Callithrix jacchus: one gene and its partners. Each later gene encodes a partner of the first gene's protein in a complex. Links are inferred from orthologs where the notes say so. Each region holds a gene or a part of one and is shown in the gene's direction. Other genes may lie near its edges. The genes, in order: TAF10, TAF5, TAF4, TAF11, TAF6, TAF7 and TAF3.

What was found.
Region 2: TAF10 (region 1) and TAF5 share a complex: the UniProt entries of both Homo sapiens proteins name them as parts of the TFIID basal transcription factor complex. The link is inferred for Callithrix jacchus from reciprocal best matches to the Homo sapiens genes TAF10 and TAF5.
Region 3: TAF10 (region 1) and TAF4 share a complex: the UniProt entries of both Homo sapiens proteins name them as parts of the TFIID basal transcription factor complex. The link is inferred for Callithrix jacchus from reciprocal best matches to the Homo sapiens genes TAF10 and TAF4.
Region 4: TAF10 (region 1) and TAF11 share a complex: the UniProt entries of both Homo sapiens proteins name them as parts of the TFIID basal transcription factor complex. The link is inferred for Callithrix jacchus from reciprocal best matches to the Homo sapiens genes TAF10 and TAF11.
Region 5: TAF10 (region 1) and TAF6 share a complex: the UniProt entries of both Homo sapiens proteins name them as parts of the TFIID basal transcription factor complex. The link is inferred for Callithrix jacchus from reciprocal best matches to the Homo sapiens genes TAF10 and TAF6.
Region 6: TAF10 (region 1) and TAF7 share a complex: the UniProt entries of both Homo sapiens proteins name them as parts of the TFIID basal transcription factor complex. The link is inferred for Callithrix jacchus from reciprocal best matches to the Homo sapiens genes TAF10 and TAF7.
Region 7: TAF10 (region 1) and TAF3 share a complex: the UniProt entries of both Homo sapiens proteins name them as parts of the TFIID basal transcription factor complex. The link is inferred for Callithrix jacchus from reciprocal best matches to the Homo sapiens genes TAF10 and TAF3.

Annotation. Positions count from the first base shown.
Region 1 is NC_133511.1:72,318,326-72,321,598, reverse strand, and holds TAF10 (transcription initiation factor TFIID subunit 10), read left to right. Parts: upstream 1-1,401; 5' UTR 1,402-1,426; coding exon 1,427-1,655; intron 1,656-1,794; coding exon 1,795-1,949; intron 1,950-2,161; coding exon 2,162-2,226; intron 2,227-2,310; coding exon 2,311-2,425; intron 2,426-2,602; coding exon 2,603-2,692; 3' UTR 2,693-2,773; downstream 2,774-3,273. Other genes in the region: scaffold protein ILK, read right to left, coding at 3,003-3,152. UniProt on the Homo sapiens protein: The TFIID basal transcription factor complex plays a major role in the initiation of RNA polymerase II (Pol II)-dependent transcription.
Region 2 is NC_133513.1:96,354,618-96,358,598, forward strand, and holds the start of TAF5 (transcription initiation factor TFIID subunit 5), read left to right. Parts: upstream 1-1,181; 5' UTR 1,182-1,195; coding exon 1,196-1,754; intron 1,755-3,981. UniProt on the Homo sapiens protein: The TFIID basal transcription factor complex plays a major role in the initiation of RNA polymerase II (Pol II)-dependent transcription.
Region 3 is NC_133506.1:57,566,970-57,570,469, reverse strand, and holds part of TAF4 (transcription initiation factor TFIID subunit 4), read left to right. Parts: intron 1-1,475; coding exon 1,476-1,623; intron 1,624-2,065; coding exon 2,066-2,180; intron 2,181-3,500. UniProt on the Homo sapiens protein: The TFIID basal transcription factor complex plays a major role in the initiation of RNA polymerase II (Pol II)-dependent transcription.
Region 4 is NC_133505.1:43,122,966-43,126,465, reverse strand, and holds part of TAF11 (transcription initiation factor TFIID subunit 11), read left to right. Parts: intron 1-2,579; coding exon 2,580-2,667; intron 2,668-2,891; coding exon 2,892-2,988; intron 2,989-3,500. UniProt on the Homo sapiens protein: The TFIID basal transcription factor complex plays a major role in the initiation of RNA polymerase II (Pol II)-dependent transcription.
Region 5 is NC_133503.1:13,465,479-13,469,545, forward strand, and holds the start of TAF6 (transcription initiation factor TFIID subunit 6), read left to right. Parts: upstream 1-1,267; 5' UTR 1,268-1,752; intron 1,753-4,067. Other genes in the region: CNPY4 (protein canopy homolog 4), read right to left, coding at 769-801. UniProt on the Homo sapiens protein: The TFIID basal transcription factor complex plays a major role in the initiation of RNA polymerase II (Pol II)-dependent transcription.
Region 6 is NC_133503.1:39,749,875-39,754,121, reverse strand, and holds TAF7 (transcription initiation factor TFIID subunit 7), read left to right. Parts: upstream 1-1,447; 5' UTR 1,448-2,224; coding exon 2,225-3,274; 3' UTR 3,275-3,781; downstream 3,782-4,247. UniProt on the Homo sapiens protein: The TFIID basal transcription factor complex plays a major role in the initiation of RNA polymerase II (Pol II)-dependent transcription.
Region 7 is NC_133508.1:6,118,234-6,122,261, reverse strand, and holds the start of TAF3 (transcription initiation factor TFIID subunit 3), read left to right. Parts: upstream 1-1,228; 5' UTR 1,229-1,433; coding exon 1,434-1,599; intron 1,600-2,092; exon of another isoform or gene 2,093-2,186; coding exon of another isoform or gene 2,187-2,280; intron 2,281-4,028. UniProt on the Homo sapiens protein: The TFIID basal transcription factor complex plays a major role in the initiation of RNA polymerase II (Pol II)-dependent transcription.

The DNA of each region.
Region 1 (3,273 bases):
ATCCCCACTACTACTACATTTTTTAGGGCCATGTTCTCCTGGAAAAACAAACAAACAAAAAACAACAACAAAAAAGTGTTCTTCCTGCCAACCCCAAACCATCTTCCAGAGTAAAATGCAAATCCCATCAGGCCACTTGATGAAAACCCTTCAAGGATTACTGGATAGAGTTCAGGCTTTTTTATTTTTCCAATCATAGTTCACAAACCTTCCTTGCTATTTGTTCCTAAGTAACAAATCATTTTTCCTCCTCCCTCCCCAAACTCCTAGAACTCTCACTCTTGCTCAAGCTGCTCCGTCCCCTTAACACCACCACCCTTGATAAAATTGCCTCGTTAATTTCCAGAATTCTTGCAAGACTCAGCTCAGAAGTCACCTTCTGTCATGAATGCTTTGATTCCCTGAGGCTACTTTATTTTGGTATGCGTAAAAAAACCCCTAGATTTTCTAAACAAAACCTCTTTGAATCTTGGTTCTGAAATGGACTAGGAGACCGACTGGGTCAAGTAAGTTTAACACCCTGAAGCTGTTTCCTCGTCTGTTAAGTGGGAATATCAATACCTGCCTTTCATAATAACGAGGAAATAAAGTGAAATAACGTTGATACGAATGCTTGGGACCTGGGAGTAGGTAGCAGATGTTAACGCCCTTCCTCCCTTGCACTGCACCCCCTGTGCCTACCTCTAGCATTGTAACATCCACATAGTATTGAAATGGCCAGTTTACTTGTTTGGCTTCCTTTCCAAGACCGCTGGTGCCTAGAGGACTAGAATCACGTCCTATTTAACTGTAATCCCCAGACCCTAGCTCAGGAGTTGGCAAATAAGAATTAAATGTCTGCTACATTGAAAACCCCACGTCTTTCACTCGCTGTGATTTTTGCGTATGCTGTTGACTCAGGCTGAAACCCCTCCTCCTCCTACAGCAGCACTGTGTGCCGGCCCACTGCTGCCCCCACCTCTCGGGGCAGTTGGTGGAGAAGGGGGCTTTCCAAATCCACTACGAACCCTTAAAAGGCTGAATAAGGGAACTTGAAAGGATGCAGACAGGCAGGCAATCCGTAGTCGAGGGATGTAGGGCCATAAACCTCGAAGCAAGGTCTTGAACGTCAGGCAGAACGAGCTGAAAGAGGAGTCAGAGGAGTCCCAGATGAACGCTGGTTCCGGTCTCGACTGAATCGCCGCGGAGCACGGCACAGGCTAGGGCGGAATGGCGACGGCAAGCGCAGTTGGCCAAGGCTTGGTCTCCTCCCTTCAGCCTATTTTCTCTAACCCGCAGACCCGCTACCGGAGGAGGCGGGGAGCGGGCCGGAGAGTGCTAACAGTGACAGGCGGGGCGAGTCGTGGGCGCGTGACGTCACCCCAGGGTGTGCGCAGCGCGAGCGGAAGCGGAAGCGGCTCTGTTCGCCGCCTCTCCCACCGGCCCGATGAGCTGCAGCGGCTCTGGCGCGGACCCCGAGGCGGCGCCACCCTCTGCCGCCTCGGCCCCGGGCCCGGCGCCCCCGGTGTCGGCTCCCGCCGCGCTGCCAGCTAGCACCGCCGCGGAGAACAAGGCCAGCCCCGCGGGGACAGCAGGGGGGCCTGGGGCTGGAGCAGCTGCTGGGAGCACGGGACCCTTGGCGCGGGCCGGGGAACCAGCTGAGCGGCGCGGGGCAGGTGAGGACCAGGACGGGTGAGGGCGAGGGCAGCGCTTTGGACTGGGCCCAGCGGCGGTTGGGGGCAGAAGGTATAGGCAGACCTCGCTGGGGCCCTGCGCCTCCCACCTCTGTGTCTCATTTTGCTGGTTCTCCTCCAGCTCCGGTGTCGGCGGGTGGCGCGGCGCCCCCGGAGGGGGCCATGTCTAACGGGGTTTACGTACTGCCCAGCGCGGCCAACGGAGACGTGAAGCCCGTGGTATCCAGCACGCCTCTGGTGGACTTCCTGATGCAGCTGGAGGATTACACGCCTACGGTGGGCTTCCCGCCCGAACAAGGCTAACTAGCCTGCCGTCACAACTTTCAGCTACATCTCCGTGCTTTCCAGCGTCTTCTGTTTGCTTCCCTAGTCGCTCTTCTGATTTTTTTGCCCTCTGCCCCACAAACTGAGCTTCCTGATTACCAGGCCTATCCATTTCCCTCATCCTCCTCCCGCTCTGCTGACAGTTCTCTTAATTGATTTCTCAGATCCCAGATGCAGTGACTGGTTACTACCTGAACCGTGCCGGTTTTGAGGCTTCAGACCCACGCATGTGAGTAAACCCAGGGCAGGTTAGTTTTGGGTACTTGTGCAGTTTGTTTTTCATCTCCTTCTCATCTCAGTTTTTTCTCTCTAGAATTCGGCTCATCTCCCTAGCTGCCCAGAAATTCATCTCAGATATTGCCAATGATGCCCTACAGCACTGCAAAATGAAGGGCACAGCCTCCGGCAGCTCCCGGAGCAAAAGCAAGGTGTGAGGGGAGGCTCAATGAATCAGTAATTACCTTCCACAACAGTGGAGGCTTATCCTGCCACCCCCTTGGGGAAACTGAATCCTAGGGGAGGTATATGACTTACTCAGGGTCACCTATCTGGGATTGAAGTCTAGGAGTCCTGTGTTCAGTTGGTACTCTTCACTCTTTCCTCAGGACCGCAAGTACACTCTAACCATGGAGGACTTGACCCCTGCCCTCAGCGAGTATGGCATCAATGTGAAGAAGCCGCACTACTTCACCTGAGCCACCCAACCTAAATGTGCTTGTCTGTCCCCATGTCCCCACACCAGCCTGTTTTCATAATAAACTTTATTGTGACAGGCAGGGCTGATCCCTCCCATGTTGGGAGACACCATGTGGCAAGTGACAAAGCTCTGAGCCCACCCCTTTTGGGGCCACAGTGGTAGGGATTCGGGAAGGGGATGGACCCCATGGCTGGGGTAGTACCATGACTAGAGGCAGGGGAGGCAACCAGAGGCCTGCTGCTTTGGGGTGGTGCACTCCCCCAACCATGTCCTGACACCTTTGGAGTTTAGGCAAGGACTTTCCAGTCCTACTTGTCCTGCATCTTCTCCAGGATAGGCACAATCATATCAAATTTGGGTCGCTTTGCAGGGTCTTCATTCATGCAGATCTTCATGAGCTTACACACATGAGGGGAAATACCTGGTGGGATGGTAGGCCGAAGGCCTTCCAATGCCACCTGTGAATACAAGAAAAAACTGAGCCTTAGAATTTGAGTCTATCATGTAGAAAGAAGCAACTGGCTCTTGGGACAGGATTACTGTATATCCGAACAAATACAGAAGGAGCCCAGGCCCACT
Region 2 (3,981 bases), on another chromosome or scaffold:
CAGAGTCTCGCACTGTCGCCCAGGCTGTAGTGCAGTGGCGTGATCTCAGCTCACTGCAATCTCCGCCTCCCGGGTTTCACCATGTTGGCCAGGATGGCCTCGATATCCTGACCTTGTGATCCGCACGCCTTGGCCTCCCAAAGTGCTGGGATTACAGACGTAAACCACCGCGCCTGGCCGATTTTTAAATATACAATTAAAATAGCTTATTTATAATAACAGGTAATAGCATGAATACATAACGTACATATTTCACAGCCACAAAATTCTGTTATTTAAAATCTTTTTATTGAAATGTAATGTATATGGCTTTCGCCTGCAATCTAAGCACTTTGGGAGGTTGAGGCGGGCGGATCACCTGAGGTCAGGAGTTCGAGACCAGCCTGGTCAACATGGCGAAACGCTGCATTTACTAAAAATACATAAATTTGTGGGACATGGTGGGCCGCACCTGTAATCCCTGCTACTTGGGAGGCTGAGGCAGGAAAATTGCCTGAACCCGGGAGGCGGAGGTTGCAGTGAGCCAAGATTAGGCCACTGCACTTCAGCCTGGGCGACAGAGCGAGACTCTATCTCAAAAAAAAAAAAAAAAAAAAAAAAGTAATGTATACGGTGTAAAGTTCATAAAGCATGCAGCTCGATTAATTTTTACAAAAGTAAAAACGGCCAAAAAAAAAAAAAATTAACCACTATCCAGGTCATAGAAAACATTACCAGTATCTCAGAAGCCTCCTTCTGGCAAATGGTATATGCTTTTAAGTTAAAGACCTGGATTCGAATGCTAACATTTGGACTTTCTTCTTGTGTGACTCTGGTAAATTATTTAACCTCTCTTGGTTTCGGCTAAGCCATCTGTGCAGTGAAAATAATATTACCTCATAAAATGATTGAATTGAAGGAGATCACATAACGTAAAACGTTACGTCTGGGATTACAGACGTAAGCCACGGCGTAAGCTAGCCTGCAATAAATTGCAATTATCAGGCAAATGTAATAGGCGGTCATCAACTCCCACTTCCTGCCTTTCTATCGCTCGTTTTCTAAAGTTACTCATTCCTATTCCGTTTCGCCTTTTTTTTTCGCTCCTCCTACTGCCGTAAATGGTCTACTAGAGCTGTCGTGAAATGCTCCTCCCCGACCTCCATGCGGCGAAAATGCAATCACGCTTGACGGCGCGAGGTGGCTCAGCCGCAAGATGGCGGCGCTGGCGGAGGAGCAGACGGAGGTGGCGGTTAAGCTAGAGCCTGAGGGACCGCCAACGCTGCTACCTCCGCAGGCGGGGGACAGCGCAGGCGAGGGTAGCGGCGGCACTACCAACAACGGCCCCAACGGCGGGGGCGGGAACGTTGCGGCGTCGTCGTCCGCTGGCGGTGATGGCGGGACCCCCAAGCCCACGGTGGCTGTCTCTGCCTCTGCCCCGGCGGGGGCGGCCCCGGTGCCTGCCGCTGCTCCGGAGGCCGGCGCTCCTCACGACCGACAGACTCTACTGGCGGTGCTGCAGTTCCTACGGCAGAGCAATCTCCGCGAGGCCGAAGAGGCGCTGCGCCGTGAGGCCCGACTGCTGGAGGAGGCAGTGGCGGGCTCCGGAGCCCCGGGAGAGGTGGACAGCGCCGGCGCTGAGGCGGCCAGCGCGCTTCTCAGCCGGGTGACCGCCTCGGCCCCTGGCCCTGCGGCCCCCGACCCTCCGGGTACTGGCGCTTCGGGGGCCACGGCCGTCTCAGGTTCAGCCTCAGGTCCTGCGGCTCCGGGTAAAGGTGAGCCGTGGGGTCCCGGGCAGGCACGGCCACCGCGAAGGGGAGCATGCCGGTAAGGCAGGGGCTGGCGGGCCTGCACCTCTGCGGGCTTGTTTTGAATTTCCTGGGCCCGCCTCTAGGGCCACATGCCCGCCCCTTTCTCTAGTGCGCCGGCTGCGTAGTCAAACCCCCTTCCGAGCTGTCAGTTCCAGCGAGAGGCTGAGGAGAGCTGCTGAGCAGAGGGATGTGTGAAGGTGGGCGCGGAGAGGCGGGTACCTTCAGGCTTTTGGTTCCTTTCCTCTCATATGGGGTTTTGAGCCTTAGTCATGTCCGCATGACGCTAACATAGTGTTTGTACAGTTTCGTATTAGCGTACTTTAATTTTTCTTTATTTCTTTACTTCCTCTTAAAAGATACGTTAGTAAATACTTTATAGTTTCTTTTTTTGTGTGTGTTTGTGACGGAGTTTTGCTCTCGCCCAGGCTGGAGTGCAGTGGTGCAGTCTCGGCTTACTGCAACCTCCGCCTCCTGGGTTCAAGCGATTCTCCTGCCTTAGCCTCCCCAGTAGCTGGGACTACAGGCGCCTACTACCACAGCTGGCGAATTTTTGTATTTTTGGTAGAGGCAGGCTTTCACCATGTTGGCCAGGCTGGTCTCAACCACCCGACCTCTAGTGACCCACCGGACTTGACCTCCCTGAGTGCTGGGATTACAGGAGTGAGCCAACATGCCTGGCCACCATGCAATATACCCTTGTACCAGTCCTGCACATCATGTGCCCCCGATTGTCAGCTAAAAGTTGGAATATTAAAAATACATATGGGTAGTACCACCAGTGTTAAGTCTTTGGAGGATGCAGGCTCATGGGCATCACTTCAGACTTAGTGAATCAGATCCTCTAGAGGTGGAATATGGGAATCTGCACTTTTGAATAAGTGCTTCTAAGGAGTATTGACATACGGCAGCTTGAGAATCATGTGTTCAGGCATCCCATTACACGTAATTTTTAATTTTTTTTGAGACGGAGTTTCGTTCTTGTTACCCAGGCTGGAGTGCAATGGCGCGATCTCGGCTCACTGCAACCTCCACCTCCTGGGTTTAGGCAATTCTGCCTCAGCCTCCTGAGTAGCTGGGATCACAGGCACGCGCCACCATGCCCAGCTAATTTTTTGTATTTTTAGTAGAGACGGGGTGTCACCATATTGACCAAGATGGTCTCGATCTCTTGACCTCGTGATCCACCCGCCTTGGCAATTTTTGTATTTTTAGTAGAGAAGGGGTTTCACTATGTTGGTCAGGATCGTCTCGATCTCTTGACCTCATGATCCACCCGCCTCGGCCTCCCAAAGTGGTAAGATTACAAGTGTGAGCCACCGCGCCAGGCCTTTTTTTTTTTTTTTTTTTTAGGTGGAGTTTCACTCTTCTTGCCCAGGCTGGAGTGCAGTGGTGCCATCTCAGCTCACTGCAAGTGATTCTTCTGCCTTGGCCTCCCGAGTAGTTTGGATTACAGGCATGCCTTACCATGCCCTGCTAATTTTTGTTTTTTCAGTAGATACAGGGTTTCTCCATATTGGTCAGGCTGGTCTCGAGCTCCTGACCTCGGGTAACTTCCTGACCTCCCAAAGTGTTGAGATTACAGGCATGAGCCACCGCTCCTGGTCAACCTCCTTTGTACTAAAAATACAAAAATTAGCCAGGTATGGTCCCAGCTGCTCAGGAGGCTGAGGCAGGAGAATTGCTTGAACCTGGGAGGTGGAGGTTGCAGTGAGCCAAGATCGTGCCACTGCACTCCAGCCTGGGTGATAGAGTGAGATGGTCTCAAAAAAAAAAAAAAAAAAATTCTTTTTTTTACATTAATATTGTCAGGAGGCTCTCATGTTGAATTTTCTCTATTAAATGAGTGGTTATGAGGCTATTATAATACGTATATGTGAAACATTTGGTATTGATAAGTTTATGCCTCTGTATCTGTCCCTAATACCTTAGCCCCTGCTTTCTCCCAGCAAATGTTGTCACAAAGTCCATGCAGTAAAACTCATATACAGTATAAGTTCTCACAGTTGATCCTGAGTTAACAATAAATGTTTATTGAATTCTCCAGTGCAGAGCCTTTAGCCAAATTCATCTGTATGAGGCCTAATCTTTGCAGCATTGCTTGAATACATAGCATTGTATTCATATTTCATTGTAATCCATAAATAGAAATGTGTGTGAGTGTGGCTGGGCACAGTGGTTCACGCCTGTAATT
Region 3 (3,500 bases), on another chromosome or scaffold:
CCGCAGGGCCTGTCCTGAGCATTTGATGGTAGGTTCCCTATTCACACAGCCTGTCCTGAGCATTTGATGGCAGGCTCCCTATTCACACAGTCTGTCCTGAGCATTTGACGGCAGGCTCCCTATGCCGCAGGGCCTGTCCTGAGCATTTGATGGTAGGTTCCCTATTCACACAGCCTGTCCTGAGCATTTGATGGCAGGCTCCCTATTCACACAGTCTGTCCTGAGCATTTGATGGCAGGCTTCCTATTCACACAGCCTGTCCTGAGCATTTGATGGCAGGCTTCCTATGCGCAGGGCTGTCCTGACTGCCTGAGGCTCTTCCTGTCCAGTGTGGGTGTTTGGGTTTTGTTGAAGACATGGTTGCATTGTAGGCTGCTTCCCCAGGCCCCCACACGTATTCTGCAGCATCGAGTTTACCTGCCAGGGCACCGTTGCAAAAGATGAAACTAAATTCAGAAACATCTGGGCCCAGAGGTTTGGGGCCAGGCCTTGTGGGCTTGAGCATTGGCTTTTGACAGGGACACAAGTGTCTCTGGGTTCCAGCATCCTGGAGACGGGCCAGAGCACAGGCCGTGGTCAGTGCTGCTGGGTTTTGGACCTCTGCCCTGTGCTGGAGGTAGGAATGAGAGATAGGACGGCAGCAGACGTGGGCAGGCCCTGCCATGAGGGGCCCAGCAGCTGGGCAGACAGAGCTGGCCATACTGGAGGCAGTGGGTAGAGACAGACCCTTGAGGGCCAAGTTCAGGCAGGACTTAGGAACTGTAACCCCACTCCAGTAGAAAAGTCATCAGCTTCCTTATAGAAAATTCAGAAAGAGAGCTGCGTTTGGTGGCTCATGCCTGTAATTCAGCACTTTGGGAAGTCAAGGTGGGAGGATCACTTGAGCCCAGGAGTTCAAGCCTGGCCAACATAGCAAAACGCCATCTCTACAAAGAATACAAAAATTAGCCAGACAGTGGTGATGGGCACCTACAGTCCCAGCTGCTCAGGAAGCTGAGGTGGATTGCTTGAGCCCAAGGGGCAGAGGTTGCAGTGAGCTGAGATCATGCCACTGCACTCCAGCCTGGAGACAGGGAGATCCTGTCTCAAAAAAAAAAAAAAAGAAACAAATTTCAGATGGGTAAAACCACTTGACCTGTAGCCACCAGGCAACAATGTCACTTCTGCTAATATTTGGGAGGCAGTGCTCTACTCCATCCTGGGTTGCTGAGCTCAGCAGGCATCACTTTGTCGCCTGGCACCTCCAGGACCTGACCAGAGCCCAGGGGCAGCTTCTAGGCAGCAGATCTGCTCCTCCTGCTTCGCTCTGCTATGCCCACACAGGCACCCCTTGCCCACGTCCTGCCCTAATCTGGCCGAGACCATGCTGGGGGGTGTAGGGTGGAGAGGAAGGGAAGGGAGGAACCTTCTGCTAGGGACCGGGTAGGCCCCACCTCTTGGGGCATGCTCACTGTTCTCTGCTGGCTCTGCCTCAGGTGATCCAGCAGCCTCCGAAGCCAGGAGCCTTGATCCGGCCCCCGCAGGTGACTTTGACGCAGACACCCATGGTCGCGCTGCGGCAGCCTCACAACCGGATCATGCTCACTACACCTCAGCCGGTCCAGCTGAGCCCGCTGCAGCCAGGTGAGGGCCTCTCATGACCAAGGGTGGCCCCCAGAGCCAGCTGTTACTGCGCTTATATTTATTTTATTTTAATTGTGGTAAAATGTACATATCATAAAATTGGCTGTTTTAAGTGTCTGGATCAGTGGCATTAATTTTATTTGCCATGTCGTGTAACCATCCCCACTGTCAGTGTGATTTTAAATGTTATTTACACGTTTACCACAGTGAGCTTCTTCATTCGTAATTATTCCTGCACTTTAAAAACTGATGAAATACAGGAGAATAAATGCTGGAGAGAGACAGCTTATACTTTGTACTGTAATTTAGAGTTACTAACGTGAAGTTTTTGGAAACGATTGTGGCTAATTAGGAGAGTGGTAGCTGTGCCCTTAGGCCTGTAAGGCACATGGTTTGTCTAATGAAAGCCTCGTGTGGTTTCCACTGTGTGTTTGTTTTGTAGTCCCTGTGGTGAAACCCGCCGTGTTACCTGGAGCCAAAGCCCTTTCTGCTGTCTCGGCACAAGCAGCTGCTGCACAGAAAAATAAACTCAAGGAGCCTGGGGGAGGTTCGTTTCGGTAAGGAATGGGCCTGTGTACACTGGAGGAGCGTGGCCAGAATGGAGAAGAATCCAGAGTCCGTGCTGCTCCGTTCCCGTGCGTGGGTCTTTCCCACATGGCTCTGGCAGCCGGGAGCTCCACGCTCACTGTGACCTCACGTCTCACAAGTGTGTTTTCCTGTGGAGTCGGCTCAAAGGTTTTGCTTCATACACAGCCAGAAAGCAAATCAACTGAGTTTTTTATGTGAACTAAAAGAAAATTCATTTTTAAATATAACATAGTATTTTGAGTTCATTGTTTTCATCACATAGAATGAATGCTTCACTTTCCACACATTCAGCTTCAGAACCTTCAGAATGCTGTACTGCCAGGTGCAGTGGCTCACGCCTGTGGTCCCAGCACTGCAGGAGGCTGAGGTGGGAGGATCGCTTGAGCCCGGGAGTTTGAGACCAGCTTGGGCAACAGAGTGAAACCCTATTCAACAAACAAAATAAAAAATTAGCCAGACTTGGTGTGCACTTGGGAGGCTGAGGTGGGAGGATCACTTCTGCCCAGGAGTTCAGTGTTACAGTGAGCTATGATTTTACCACTGTACGGCAGCCTCGGTGACAGTGACACCCTGTTTCTAAGAAAATAAAAAGAAATGCTGTGCTTTGCCCGGGCCTTCTGGAAAGCAGCCGGTCTGAGCATCACCGTCAGTCAGGGAGATATTTACGGGACCTGAGCAATGGGAGAGGCTCGGGATGGTCTCTGTTGTGATCAAGCAGCCGGGGAGTGTGTGTGTTTCAGGAACTCTTGTGAGTTTTCTCTTTCCCAGACACTTCATCCCTAAAAGCATCAGGCAGGCAGAGCAGGCCTGGGGAGTGACTGTGGCCTGAGCCAGAGTCCAAGCTCAGGCAGCGAGAGGTGGCCAGCATGCCCAGGCTGGCGTGAGGCTAGTACTGCAGTGAGAAGGGAGGCACTTAGGGACATACACAGGTCAAAGAATTAATCAAGGCTGCTGGAAGCCTTGGTGTTTGCTGTCAAGGAGTCAGTGACCTGGCAGAAGGGATAAAGGAGAGCAAGTCCTGTGGGGTGGCTCAGGATTGGAATGCTGACGCAGACGCCTGGATTTCAGCCTGTGTCGGCAGGCGTGGATAATGATGGATCTTGCCATAAGTTTCTAGCTTTGTCCACTGCAGGACCCTGGAGCAGTAACGCCCTAATAGCACTGAGCACACCTAGTGCTCAAAAGTCATCTTCTAAAAACCGTTTTCCTCTAAACTGACAAGCCTCCTGAAAGAAAAGGCTGATTTCAGGGCAGTGATAAGGAAATACAAGATGAGTGGAGACCGTCTT
Region 4 (3,500 bases), on another chromosome or scaffold:
AGGGTCTCTCTTGACCACACAAATTTAATAAATTTTTCTTGGCCTTTTTTTTCTTTTAAAAACTTAAAAGAAAATGAAATGATTAGTACATTATGGCTATGCATGGTGACTCACACCTGTAATCCCAACACTTTGGGAGGCCACGGTGGGAGGATCACTTGAGGGCCAAGTTTGAGACCAGCGTGGGCAACAGTGAAACCCTATCTCTATACTATGTTTTATGTTATGTATGTCATGTCATGTCTTGTTATATTATGTTTTTATTTTATTTTTTTTGAGACAGAGTCTCACTGTGTCACCCATGCTGGAGTGCAATGACACAGTCTTAGCTCACTGCAGTCTCCACCTCCTGCGTTTAAGCAATTCTCATGCCTTAGCCTCCCAACTAGCTGGGACTACAGGGGTGCACCACCACGCCCAGGCTAGTTTTTATAGTTTTAGTAGAGACAGGGTTTCACTATGTTGGCCAGGCTGATCTTGAACTCATGACCTCAGGTGATCGCCCTTGGCCTCCCAAAGTACTGGGATTACAGGCATGAGCTACCATGCCTGCCCTTCTTTTTATGTATTTATATTTTCTATGCTGTGACATAATTGTTTTGAAAAAAAATTTTTTTTAAATAGAGGCCAAGTGTAGTGGCTCATGCCTCTAATCCCAGCACTTTTGAAGGCTGAGATGGGTGGATCACCTGAGGCCATGAGTTCAAGACCAGCCTGGCCAACATGGTGAAACCCTATCTCTACTAAAAAATACAAAAAATTAGACCAGGCACCATGGCTTGTGCCTATAATCCAAGAACTTTGGGGGGCCAAGGCGGGCAGATCACCTGAGGTCAGGAATTCAAGACCAGCCTGGCCAACATGGTGAAACCCTGTCTCTACTAAAAATAGAAAAATTAGACAGGCAAGGTGGCACATGCCTGTAATCTCAACCACTTGGGAGGCTGACGCAGGAGAATCGCTTGAACCAGGACCCGGGAGGGAGTGGTTGCTGTGAGCAGAGATCGTGCCACTGCACTCCAGCTTGGGCAACAGAGTGAGACTCCGTCTTAAGAAACTCAAATTCAAAAAATTAGCTGAGCGTAGTTGTGGGTGCCTGTAATCCTAGTTATTCAGTAGGCTGAGGCAGTAGAATCACTTGAATCCAGGAGGCAGAGGTTGCAGTGAGCCAAGATCGTGCCACTACACTCCGGCTTGGGCAACAGAGCCAGACACTCTTTCTAAAAGTTAGATAGATGGATGGATAGATAGATAGATAGATAGATGGATAGATAGATAAAAGAAAAAAATCACATCCCGCTTATGTTAAAAGTTTCAAGAGAATTTCTATACATATATATTTATAAATAAATTTTTTTTCAAAAATGTCAAATACTCTTACAGCCTATTTTTCACATTAGATATGGTGAATATTTTCCATGTCACTAATTATACATCCAGGTCATAGTTTTCTTAGAAATGGAAATCGCTTTATTATATTTTCTGATTGTAAAAGTAGTATGGACTCATTGCAAATAATTCAGAAAATACAGAAAAATAGAAAAAATTACCCAGAGACTCACCACCCAGAGTTTACTCTAAGCATGTATAGTTGGCTATAATATATGGACCTTTTCAAAGTTTTTTTAGATGTTTGCTATGTATAGCTAAATATTTTCCTGTCAGTAAATATGCTCATAAATCATCATTTTAATGGCTACATTGTATCGCATTGTGTTGTTGAACTATAATTTAACCAATCCCTGTAGTGGTTCTGGTTAGATTTTTTTTTTCTTTTGACATTACAAGGAGGATCTTTGGACATGTTTGCATACTTGTCCATTTCTTTCAATTACCTCTAGGAGGTGTAATTGCTAGTTCAAATAGTGTGAACATTTTCAAAGGCTTTTCATAAGTATTTCCAAATTTCTCTCCAAAAAGGTGTTCCAGTTCTCTGCCAGTATGTATGGGTTTGTACCCCATATTCTAATAGCATTCTTTTTTTAATAGTGATCTGATTTGTGAAAAATGTTATCTATGAAAATAATATTTCCTTGGTTAATAATAAAGGTTAATTTGTTTCCCCCATGTTGGTTGACCATTGATATTTTTGTAAATTGCCTGTTCATATCCTTTGTTCATTTTCATAAATTGATATGACCCCTTTATTCATTTGAAAGAATTAATTATACATTAGGGGTATTAACTGTTTCCATATATTTTGCAGATATTTCCCCTAAATCTGTTAATGTTGAAAACTACTGGTTTGATTATAAATTTGTATATTAAATTTTTACTATCAGTATGAAATTCAGTAAGGTAGAGTTATGGAGATTTAGTCTAATGCTGAAAACATAGTCTGTATCATATGATACAGTGACCCAATGTTGTTGTTTTCATTTTTCTTAAATGGTAAAAAGTTTTTATTTTATGTTTCCTCAAGTTCCTTAGGAGTAGAAGTGTTTTATCTTCATTCTTCAAGGCACCAAGCCTAATGCCATTGACCCTGTAAGAATTTATCTGTCTGAGAGTTTTACTGACTTAATAATATCTTGTATTCATTCTTATAAGTTAACTTAGTTACCTGGATCTTTGTCTAGAATCCTGGTTTCTTCTTTTTCTGAAGAGCAGCTGAACCGTTATGAAATGTATCGCCGCTCAGCTTTCCCTAAGGCAGCCATCAAAAGGGTAAGGATGGCCCACCACACTTCATTTCTGTCATACTTTAAAACCAAACTCAAGAGCCATGTCTATTGGCATTTGAAGTGAGGTGTTAGACAAGTCAGTGAATTATTTAGGTGGGGAAAAAAATGTCCCTCAGTTATCTTGCCCTTTTCTGTGAATTAATTGGTACTGTGTTCAAAGCCAGTCTTTGACTATCATAATCACCGAGTGTTTGTCCTTCTTTCAAGCTGATCCAGTCTATCACTGGCACCTCTGTGTCTCAGAATGTTGTTATTGCTATGTCTGGCATTTCCAAGGTTTTCGTCGGGGAGGTGGTAGAAGAAGGTGAGTAGTGTTGGTTACAAATACTGGATTCTACCTGTGGTCATCTTATTTTTAAGAATATCTATACAAAGGAACTTATTAGAGCACCTGTACAAGTACTTATTTGCACTTGAGGGTGACCAAGTGGGGAGCCCTGTATTCAGGAGAACGTGACCATTATTCCTTGCAAGTTTCAATAACAGATGGCAAGGAACCATCTGGGAAATCCCCTCCCTGATTCCTTTCCTCAGCCCAGGGTGACAGAAGTAGATTTTTTTTTTTTTTTTGAGACGGAGTTTTGCTCGTTACCCAGGCTGGAGTGCAATGGTGTGATCTCGGCTCACCACAACCTCCACCTCCTGGGTTCATGCAATCTCCTGCCTCAGCCTCCTGAGTAGCTGGGATTACAGGCACGTGCCACCATGCCCAGCTAATTTTTTGTATTTTTAGTAGAGGGGGGGTTTCACCATGTTGACCAGGATGGTCTCGATCTCTGGTCCTCGTGATCCACACACCTCGGCCTCCCAAAGTGC
Region 5 (4,067 bases), on another chromosome or scaffold:
AGATGAGGACTACGTCATGAGAGTATCATGACCACCTTTCCTGACTTTACGTTTCTTCCCTCAAGAATCCAGGGAAGAAACGTGAAGTCAGGAGGGCAGCAAACTAGGGGATCAGGGCCAGCTCTGAAGTGCCCCCTTTCTCAACTGGGCCCCACACTAGTGCAGCTACGGAAAGTGCTGCTTGCTGAAAAATCCACATAGTACACACCGTCTGCAAAGTCTCACCCGGATGGGGAACCTCCCCTAGTCGTGTGGCCTCCTGTTGTTTTTGAGCTTGAAGGGCAGAATTACTCACCCTCAAACCCCGTCAGGGGTCGTGGGGCCTGTAATTTGGGAGCGTCTATGCTAGGGTGGGGCAGCAGATGTCCACAAGGCCTGAGCCTCACAGAGCTCCTGCAGCCTCTGCAGATTAAGGTCTGGTGACGGGAAACACGCACTGAAGATGCTCTAAAGTTGGCAGTCCAGGGCCAATGGTCCCTGAACTACAATTCCCACAATCCATTGGGGGGGGGCGGGGGGGTCCAAGTCAACCAAAAAAATGCAGGCTCTCTTTGAATGCCTCCTGGGAAGTGCAGTGCCATAGCTTTGGGGCGGCACTACACGTTTGCTTCCTTGACCCCATCCATTCAAATTCAGCCAAGCTCCACCAGAACCTCCCTCAAGCTTTCAAGGAGTTCAGGTGACCCACCCAATACAGTCCAAGAGGTCCGGCCTAGAAGAAGGAGGTGTGGCCGGGCGATGCCAACAGGGGCTACCCCCTTCAGATACCTTCGCATTTGCTGGGCAAACGTTCTGTGTCATCGTCCTCTTCCTTCGGCTTCCCAGCCCAAGCCCCGTGCACGGCCAAAAGGAAAAGCAATATTCCCAACCACATAGGTCCCATGACAAAGCGCCATCCACAAACAACCATCGCTTGCTTTCAAACCAACTTCGGGAAGGCAGTGGGTCCTTTAAATGCCCAGGCGGCTGGCGGCAACCTTAAATCCAGCCTGGCAAGGTCGGCGCACGAGCAGAATCAGCTCGGTAGGGGGCGGGGCCTCATTGCTCTGAGTTTCTCCGCCTCCGTTTTGTGGCGCCTCTTCAAGGTCCTGGCAGCCGGGTAGTGAAGGAATAATTTGCAGTAATTCAACCAAGACGGAATTCTTCTTATATGTAGATGTTTAAACAAAATTTTAAAATATAATTTCATTCCGTGAGTCCAGAGAACGTATTCTGGCACGGGGAAGCGGTAGCGATTTGGACTTCCGCTCTGCCAGGACCTGCTCCTAGGAGGGGGCGGGGCCAAGATGGCGCCCAGCGCCGGGTGAGCGGCGTCTTGGCGGCGGCCAGAGTTTTCCTGCTCCCAGCGTTCGGCTGGCGGGGGCGGGTCTGAGTGGTACTCTGGAGGAGACCCTTTGAAGGTCCCTTGTGGGGACTAGAAACAAGACGGTTGGTTGTGTGTCCGTGCTCGTGGGGACCCCGTGTGTGTGTCTGCATTGGAGAGATGTTGCAGGAGATGAGGTGGGCTCTCTGAGCCTCCTTTCGCGCTCCCCGGGGATTTTCGACCTGCTTCTCTGCTGGGATCCCGCTCAAGTTAATCCTCCCCTGGGACGCCTTCCTGCCGCCTCCACTGATCTGAGGAGATCCTGTGACTGTAGCGTGTTTTATGAGCCTTTACTGACAGAGGGTACCGCCGGGTATTGAAGGATTCGTAAGAGTTCGCCAGGGAAGTGGGACACGACCGCCTCTTATAAACGCGGCGCCAGGCACAGAGTATGTCTCGAATAATTGTGTTCCCTATAGATAAGACTTTAAAAAGTTGGGGAGGAGACCAGGGATGGTTTGAAAAGAACCAGTTTCTTCTTCGGCCTCCCTCTTCCCATCCTTCCAGCACAGCCCCACCCTACCACCTGTACTATTCCTGAACAGTATTGATGTTAATCTTCCTAATGTCCAGCTCCAGTGTGCCACTTGACTTTTTTTTTTTTTTCCTTGAGACAGGGTTTCTGTCTGTTGCCCACGCTGCTATGGAACTCCTAGGCTCAAGTGATCCTCCCACCTCAGCCTCTTAAGTAGCTGGGATGACAGGTCCACCATGCCAGGCTAATTTTTCAATTTTTTGCAGAGATGGGGGTCTCACTATGTTAAGCAAGCTGTTTCAAACTCCCATCCTCAAGTGATCCACCTTCCTCTGTCTCCCAAAGTGCTGGGATTACTGGAGTGAGCTACCTTGCTTGGCTCCATTTTGTTGTTTTTTTAAGACTGGAGTCTCCCTCAGGCGCCCAGGCTGGAGTGCAGTGACATGATCTCGGTTCACTGTAACCTCTACCTCCTGGGTTCAAATGGTTCTCCCACCTCAGCCTCCCAAGTAGCTGGGACTACAGGTGGCCACCCCCATGTTCTGCTAATTTTTGTGATTTTACAAAAAAATGGGATCTTGCCACGTTGACCAGGGTGGTCTTGAACTCCTGACCTCTGGTGATCTTCCCACCTCGGCCTCCCAAATTGCAGGCGTGAGCCACTGCACCTGGTCTACTTTGCTTTTAACTGCAGTGTAGGCTCGAAGTTTGGACCTGTGACATATTTTCTTAATAACAGCAATAACTAGTAGTTACCGAGTACCAACATCTCTAAACCTTACAACTAATTCATCTACTTAACAAATATTTATGATGTCCCAGGCTGGGATCCTGGAATACATTAGTGAACATAATAAAGTGCCCTGTCAGCTGGGCATGATGGCTCACGCCTGTAATCCCAGCACTTTGGGAGGCCGAGGCAGGCGGATCACCAGAGGTCAGGAGTTCGAGACCAGCCTGAGGAACATGGCGAAACCCCATCTATACTAAAAATACAAAAATTAGGCCGAGCACGGTGGCTCATGCCTGTAATCCCAGCTACTCGGGAGGCTGAGGCAGGAGAATCACTTGAACCCACGAGGCAGAGGTTGCAGTGAGCCGAGATTGCGCCACTGCACTCCAACCTGGCGCCTGGCGACAGAGCAAGACTCTGTCTCAAAAAAAAAAGAAAATAGGAAAATTAGCCTGCTGTGCTGGCACATGCCTGTAATACCAGCCACTTGGGAGGCTGAGGCAGGAGAATCGCTTGAACCCGGAAGGCAGAGGTTGCAGTGAGCCAAGATCGCACCACTGCACTCCAGCCTAGGCAACAGGAGTGAATTCCATCTCAAAAAAATAAAAAGCAAATAAAGAGCCCTGTCTATATGGTGTGTGGTGGGGGTAATAAACAATAAGAAACGATACAACGAATTAGAAGGTTTTTTTGTTTTTTTGAGATGGAGTCTCACTTTGTTGCCAGGCTGGAGTACAGTGGCTCACTGCAACCTCTGCCTCCTGGGTTCAAGTGATTCTCCTGCCTCAGCCTCCCAAGTAGCTGGGACTATAGGCACATGCCACCACGCCCAGCTAATTTTCATATTTTTAGTAGAGACAGGGTTTCACCATGTTGGCCAGGATGGTGTCAATCTCTTGACCTTGTGATCTACCCGCCTTGGCCTTTCAAAGTGCTGGGATTACAGGCGTGAGCCATTGCACCCAACCCAGATGTTAAATGCTATAGAAAAGAAAAAGTGGCATTCATTCAAAAAAAGAAAAGAAAAAGTGGGCTGCTCCCACTCTGAGGGCAGAGTGCAGAGTTAAATAGGGTGGTCAGGGCAGACAGGCAATCAGGCATTCTGGAAGAACATTCCAGGCAGAGGGAATGGAGTAAAGGCTATTAGACAAGAGTATGCCTGGCAAGTTGAAGGGGCAGCCTGAAGGAATATGTGTCTGGATCAAAGTGGAAGCAGGAAGGAAAGGCAGTCAGAGATGTAATGGGAGAAGGCAAATTTTGAAGGGCTTTGTAGGACATTAAAAGGATTTTATCTTCTTTTTCTTTTTTCTTTTTTTTTTTTTTGAGAAGGAGTCTTGCTCTGTCACCCAGGCTGGAGTACAGTGACATGATCTTTGCTCACTGCAACCTCTGCCTCTCGGGTTCAAGTGATTCTCCTGCCTCAACCTCCCTAGTAGCTGCAATTATAGGCGTCCGCCACCATACCCATCTAATTTTTGTATTTTTAGTAGCGATAG
Region 6 (4,247 bases), on another chromosome or scaffold:
GCAAATATTTTTTGTGTATCTCCCAAGTTCTGATACTATGAACTGGGACACAACGGCCAAGATGGAAAAAGATCACTATCACGGAGCTTTGGATCATAAGGCAATAAAGTGAATTTTGGAACTGTTAATTACATCTTGAGAGAATTCTCTTAAATTTAGGGGCAATTAATATTTTAGAGGATAGAAATTAAGTATTAATGGCCATTATGCTCTACCAAACAGATCTTATTTTAAAAATAAATAGAAATAAGTACTATTATCCAGTTATGCCAAAATACTAAAAGCATGCATTGAAGAATACCTGACTAGCCATAGAAAAGACAAGCAGAAAACAGCAAAACAGAGATAGTGCAAAAAAAAATTTCCAGAGTAATTTAAAATTAGCTACAAGAGAGGCAGGAAACAATACTTCCATTATATCTACTTTAAAAAGATGCTCAGCTATCAGACAATTCTGTCCAAAATGAACCTGTGCTTCCAGAAGAACACTTCCTTCACTGTTTACATTTACATCTAAATCAAGCACATAAAAAGGAATCATCCTTGTTTCCCCAGGAGTATTCCAGAACAAAAGTAAATCCAGAGGTAGGATTCCCCTACAGGCATTCTCAGAATTAAAACAATGTAGACTGTGGGCTGGGCGCGGTGGCTCACACCTATAATCCCAGCACTTTGGAAGGCCAAGACAGGCGGATCACCTCAGGTCTGGAGTTGGAGGCCAACCTGGTGAAACCCCTTCTCTTAGCCGGGCGTAGTGGCACGTGCCTGTAATCCCAGCTACTCTAGAGGCTGAGGCAGGCGAACAGCTTGAACTCCCGAGGTGGAGGTTGCAGTGAGCCAATATCGCGCGCCACTGCACTCTAGCCTGGGTGACAGGGTGAGATTCTGTGTCAAAAAAAAAAAAAAAAAAAAAAAATATATATATATATATATATATATAGAGAGAGAGAGAGAGAGAGAGAGAGAGAGAGAGAGAGAATTATATAGCGAGCTGCATGTCCTCACTCCACTAATTCGGGTACTTTAAAATCCATTGCATAGCAGCTACACATTCTTGTATTGACACCAGATTGGTTAAGACCCTAGGGAGCATCCGAGATGTTTCCAGAAGCAAGGACTCCATCTCCGGGGATCACCCGGAAGTCTAAAAGCCATCGAGCCCCAAATCGATCCCGTAAAAGTGCTGGCTTAGCGGGGGATGAATCTGTATCTTTCTTGGAACTTCCAACCTTTAAATATTTTGAAACCAACAGCCCTTACGAAACCCTGCCATTTTCATCCTGGAAGAACATTTCTCGCGAAAAGACGAACTTCACGCTGGGCACCGTAATTGCGCTATTGCGCCGGCGCACGCCGGGCTCCGCACTTCCGCCCGGGCGGGCTGTCACTCACAGCCGCCTCCCGCCCCGCGCCGTGACGTAGCACTTCCTTTTTCGCTGGGTTGGGCACTCAGTCGGAGGGTCAGCGAGTTGACGGTTGTTGTGCTGCGGGCTGCCGCTCTCGTCAGGCTTTCGCGCTGCCCGTCCCGGGCCCTTTCATCAGTAATCGGTAGTGGATCATTCTGCAAACCAGCAGGAAGAACAAAGGAAACGAGAAGGAGACGCTGGGCTCCCTCCCGCTTTGCTCCGTTCGGCTTCCTTCCGCTTTGCTCCGTTCGGCCTGCTCCCGCTTTGCTCCGCTCGGCCTGCTCCCGCTTTGCTCCGCTCGGCCTCCTGTTCGCTCCAACCGGGTGAAACTGAACTTATAATCGTCACTGGATTGTAAGTACCCGAGGCGAAGAGAGCTTACTGCGCCCCGATTTTTTGAATGTCTTTGTTCCGGGAGAGTCTGTGACTTGGGAGTGTCTCTGCTGGGCTTTCTGGGCCGAAAACCGTTCCGCGGGAGCCGCCATTTGCTTTCCTGCTCTGTAGCTAGCTAGCTCTATCCGCGTTGTCCGGCAGCGGCACCTAGAGGTTGGGACTTGGCATTGCATCTGATTTAATGAAAAATCTGTGAATAAGCCATTGTTGTCAGTAACGACTGGTATTCAGTCACAGCATATTTAGAGAAAAGACTTGGACTTAAAACTGAAGCAAAATAGACGCTTAGCTGCTGATCTACAGAGAACTTCTTGTAATTAAACGATTTCAATTCATAGCAAACTGGTGTTTTAAACTGTTGCAGTAGCTGGAACTTTTCAGTGTAACCAGCATTTATTGGAGAAGTGAGTCACAAAGAAATAAAGATGAGTAAAAGCAAAGATGATGCTCCTCACGAACTGGAGAGCCAGTTTATCTTACGTCTGCCTCCAGAATATGCCTCTACTGTGAGAAGGGCAGTACAGTCTGGTCATGTCAACCTCAAGGACAGACTGACAATTGAGTTACACCCTGATGGGCGTCATGGAATTGTCAGAGTGGACCGTGTTCCATTGGCCTCAAAATTGGTTGACCTACCTTGTGTTATGGAAAGCTTGAAAACCATTGATAAGAAAACCTTTTACAAGACAGCTGATATCTCTCAGATGCTTGTAGCCACAGTTGATGGTGATCTCTATCCTCCAGTGGAGGAGCCAGTTGCTAGCGCTGATCCTAAAGCTAGCAAGAAAAAGGATAAGGACAAAGAGAAAAAGTTCATCTGGAACCACGGAATTACTCTGCCTCTAAAGAATGTCAGGAAGAGAAGGTTCCGGAAGACAGCAAAGAAGAAGTATATTGAATCTCCAGATGTGGAGAAAGAAGTGAAACGATTGCTGAGTACAGATGCTGAAGCTGTTAGTACTCGGTGGGAAATAATTGCTGAAGATGAAACAAAGGAGACAGAAAATCAAGGCCTGGATATCTCTTCTCCAGGAATGTCTGGTCACAGGCAGGGCCATGACTCATTAGAGCATGATGAGCTTCGAGAGATATTCAATGACCTCAGCAGCAGCAGTGAGGATGAAGATGAGACCCAGCATCAAGATGAAGAAGATATAAACATCATTGACACTGAGGAAGATCTGGAGAGACAGCTACAGGAGAAGTTAAATGCATCAGACGAACAGCACCAAAAGAATGAAGGAACCAATCAGCTGGTTATGGGAATTCAGAAGCAGATTGACAACATGAAAGGCAAGCTCCAAGAGACCCAGGACAGGGCAAAACGACAAGAGGATCTCATCATGAAAGTGGAAAATCTGGCTCTCAAGAACAGATTTCAGGCTGTACTGGATGAGCTCAAGCAAAAGGAAGATCGAGAAAAGGAGCAACTCAGCTCTTTGCAAGAGGAGCTAGAATCACTCCTAGAGAAGTAAAAAGAACTCTGCTACTGAATTTCAGTCTTCAGACTGGTCAGCAGTAGAAAATTCTTAGCTTTATTACTTGTACTGCATATTAAGACCTTGCCCTTCCTAGTCCCTCTAATGCTGGGTGTTCTGTTGAATTCTTTTGTTTTTAATTTTGTTTTTCTGCAAACTTACCTTGTTTTGCTAGTTGTTAATCCTATAAGAAAAATTATATAGGCAGAAAAATGATTGTAGGAAAGTTGCAGTATTAGTGTAATGTATGGTTCAACCTTAATTATAGTTTCACTGCAGGACTTTGCTGTTTATCCATTTTCCTAGAAGCTGGTGTTGCTGCTTTGTGATGACATGAGATCAATAAGAAAAACTTAGTCTAGAGACAGTGAAGCTGGTTTGTATATGTTTTCCCATGCAATAGCTGTTTTCCCAGTTATTCAAAGCAGTTTCCCATATGTAGAACTGCAAATTATTTTATAAAGTTTTCAATACAATAAATAAAAGCGTCTGTTTTTCACCTTATAATGTATCTTGTTCTTTCATGGTTGGTGGGAGTGAGATTCTCTTGGGAGGTGTTTTTGTGGTGGAGTTTAGTAACTGAGCAATTTAATCCTGTTCTGCAGGTAGAAGCAGTTGGATTTTATGAAAAAAAAAAAAAAAAAAAAAAAAAGGAACGTAGCAGGGATAAAGAAATTGGGAGTTGTCAAATTTGCATCACATTAAGGTTCCAATTCTGTCTGATCTACTTGAAGCTGGGAAACATTAGATACAGAGCTTTCTTTACCATAATTTCTGTAGATGAAGGCCTTTGTGCTTTTTTTTTTTTAAAAGCACTAAATCTACCTGCTTAAAATGTTGAAAACAAAGCAGTGGTTATCAAGTGCAGTCCAATGAACCATTCCATTGGTTTGAATTAAGATTTTATTTCTAATTTTCTTCAATTGAGTTCCTACAATTATTTAATATTCTAAGAACTGAGGTTATTTAT
Region 7 (4,028 bases), on another chromosome or scaffold:
TGCTGATAACTTGGGGACAGAGTGTCCATGAAGTAAATACGGGCACCTTGCCATATAGTACCTTGCTTCTCTGCAGATCGCCATTTAACTGAAGAACCATAATTTCACTCCTACTGCGTTTCCCAGACTTTCGAAAATTTGAGTATCATGTTCAAAGTTCTGGAATAGTCCCTGGAGGAGGAACATAGAGCCACTGATAAACTCTTATACTAAATACACTGTGATAGGTACAGAAAGGCATATTTAAGAAACCACATAGTTCAGCCACTACAATCGAGCTATCGGCAGGCTGAATCTAGACTTGCGGTGGGATCAGTTTGGTTTTTGAGATGTGTTCCCAATTCTGAATTTAAAAGTCAAGGTATTTATCCCCAAATCCCGATTTCTGGCAATATTTGGCTGGAGCTGGGAGGAGGCTCTGGGATAGGCAACCGTTCCCAGGACACTCAGCCTGAGATACGGGTTTGAGGCTCTGGTTTGACCTCTGGAGGTAGCCGAGGTCCCCATCCCCCTACAGGCCACAGCCGCGATACGCAAATCGCACACTACAGCCCACAGGGAGCTCACCTGGTTTGAAAAAAAAAAACGTTTTATTGCAACCATGGCTGGGATTAGAATGACATGAGTGAGGCAGGAGTTTATGGCATGGGTTTGGATTTTTAAAAAAACTATTAAAATATTATCCATCTTGATGACTGAGTTTTCTGGGGGGCCCATTAATTTGGCACAGAGGCCTCCTCCTAGTCCCCGCCCTACTGCGAAGGGCTTTAAAGGGCATGCGGAACAGCTTGGGCTTTATTTAATCTGTGCAGTGGCAAGCAGCTCAGTACACAGATTTTTAGCAGAAGTAAGACCAGCGCAGGTCTGCGTTTGGCGAGCATCTTAAATTCCCACGCCCCAAACTTCTCTCTAGCACTTAACCCTCTAACATGACTAACGTTATTAATGCTAACTCTCTAACATGTCAATGTCGTATCCCAGATCCCTCGTTTGCCCCTAAAACACGGGCGTTTTTGTCCCCGCTCTCCCCCCAGGTGAGCGCCCCTGGGAAGCACCCCAGCACCTGTCACCCATGGCGCCTCCTCCACCTGCGCTCCGCAATCCCGCTTCCGGCCGGCTTCCAGGCCTCAGAGACGATCCCGAGGCGTCGCTCCGCTCCCACGGGGCGGAGCTTTCTCATCGGCGCGCTCGGCATTCGGCTCGTGCTGCCTCGCTCCGGCGGCCGTCCAGCGAGAGGCGGAGCGAGTCCAAAATGGCGGCTCTCAGGCTGGCGCGCTCCGCGCTGCTGGGGCTTTGAGGTGGTCGCCGGGGGTCCGTGGGACCATTATCCCGCCGCCGAAGCCCTAGAGGATGAATCGGGGGCCCTGCTAAGGTCTGGCGGCGGGGCTGGAGAGCAGTGGCAGCAAGGGCTGCGGTGGCGTCCACGCAGCGGGATGTGCGAGAGTTACTCCAGGTCGTTGTTGAGGGTCTCGGTGGCGCAGATCTGCCAGGCGCTGGGCTGGGACTCGGTGCAGCTCAGCGCCTGCCACCTCCTCACGGACGTGCTGCAGCGCTATCTGCAGCAGCTGGGCCGGGGCTGCCATCGGTACTCTGAGCTCTGTGAGTACCGGGCTGGGTTCGGGAGGGCTGCCCCGGCAAGTCAAGGGTGACACCTCCGCTCTCCCTGCCCCTCCGCGTCTCCGGTGTGTGCGTCCCGCACCCTGCCTCGAGATCTGCTGTCTCCTCGGCCTCCCACGTCCCTGGGCTTCCACTGACCCTGCAAACTCTAGTCATCCCTGGGGTGCCTCTTCCTCATCCGCTAACTTCCCGCCACCAGCCCGGGAGCCGAGTCTTCGCTCCCAGCTCCACACCCTCCTGCAGCTCCTCCGCTCTGAAATGTGCCTGGATCTCTCTCATTGTCTCCTGTTTGCTGCGGGCAGATCCACCCCCAGCGTGCCTTACACCCTCTTTTACCTCGGTCCTTTTTCTCCCTTGCCCGCAAACTACTACAACTAGTTGTCACAGGCGCTCCGTCTACCGGCCGTTTCTTACAAGACTGGCCATTCCTGAGCTCCTAACTACACAGACTCGTTGACAGCTCTGCTCCGTTAGGGACACTGCCTCTTCTTTCTGTGTCTGTTCGTTTCGTGAACAACATCTCCACTTTCTGTTTTCCCAAGGCTGACTTTGTCAGTTTCGCTGATCAGATGCACTTTCACTTAACGTCTCAGTTACCGGTGAGATGTCAGTGGTTATCAAAGCGGGATAGAGGGACCATGGGCAGTTGGCGAGATTCTCCAGGTAATCTGGGCTACAGTACTACTTAAAACCTGTACAGTACAGTACGGGTTTTAAGTGAATGTCTGGTAATATCTATAGCTAGTGGTATTTAATAATTTAATGGAAGAAATGGTATTTTAATAGAAGCTACACGTTATCTTGTTGATGTGAAGCATTGCATGTGTGTTTGTTGAGGAGAGGAAACTACCACTCACTGAAGTTTCAAGTCATGATGTTTAAGGTGATAAGCTGGAGAACTGAATGAAGTGTTTCATAGGATACTTTGTTTTGTTAAAGTGGTTCCTAGACTGAAAAATGGAGACCCACAGACATGTTGTATCGCTTAGGCCCCGAGTTTCATTCCTGCTTCCACAGGGCTGCCAAAATAATCTGTCCACAACACAAATCTGATTTTGTCATTATTCTTAAAAACATTTTAACTGTATTCTATTGGTTACAGGCTAAAAATCTAAACTGTTAACAGCACACATTTCCCTTTGTGAGCTAGCATCTTGCTTATCTTTTGCCAGCCTGCCATGCTAATCTGGAGCCATGCTGAGCTACTTGCCTTTTCCAGAATGTTTTAGGCTATCCATTTCTACGTGCATGCTGTTTTCTACTTAGAGTGTCCTTTGCCCTGGCCCAGTAGTACTGCTTTTATTTTGAGATGTACTTATCACTTGCTCTAGGGACCTCATGTTATCTGCTTTCATAATTCTGTGCATATTTCTTTCATTTGTCATCTTGTTTTGTAATCACCTGTGTATGTCTCTTTCACCTCTCAGGAGAAAAATTGATTATATTTGTATTCTGTAACCTGTGGGGCCATTCTATAATAGCTACCTGAGAAATATTTGTTGAGTGAATGAATGAACTGATAAACCACTACCATAAGAGCCACATATTGACTTCACATTTTGAGTTCCAAAAATGTGTATGCTTTGAGTGCTTGATTTCACTGAGACTTCTATTCTTCTTCTTTTGAGACAGGATCTCACTCTGTCCCCCAGCGTGGAGTGCAGTGGTGCGATCTTAGCTCTCTATGGCCTCGAACTTCGGGGCTCAAGTGATCCTCCTGCCTCAGCCTTCCAAGTAGCTGGGACCACAGGGACATGCCTCCATGCCCAGCTAATTTTTTTATTTTTTGTAGATATGTGGTCTGGTTATATTGCCCAGGCTGGTGTCAAACTCCTCAGCTCAAGTGATCCTCCTGCCTCAGTGTGTCAAAGTGCTTGGATTACAGGCCTGAACCATGCCTAACTCACTGATACATATAAATTTGGAACTGCAAAGTAATATGCATGCATTTTTATCTTGAAAGTACATCAGCAGCTGACTACTCTCCTAGCTTTTGTTTCTTTTTCCTCTGGCCTGCTCTGCCATGGTCCTTGAGTGTACTGTTAACTGATAGGCTGGGCGAGGCGTAGTTCAGATTATGTTTGCTACCAAGTTCTCTACATAGGGACAGATGTTCTGTATCTTTAGACATTCAAAATGTCTCCTGAATACAGAGTTACCTTTCTTGCCTTTTATACAGAAGGGAGCTGGCACTCCATGTGACTAAGTATTCCATAGTCATCAAGGGGTCATTGCAGCTCTTCATTGTAAACCTTGTTCCTAATTACCTAATTTCCGTAGCCAGTTTCTTGGTTTCAGTGAGAATGAGATTGTCAACTTCATTATTCCCCATGATGATTTGGTGACTTTTTTTTGAATGCTAATTTTGGTATACTTATTAGATATTTTTAGATTCGTTTTTCTATACCAGC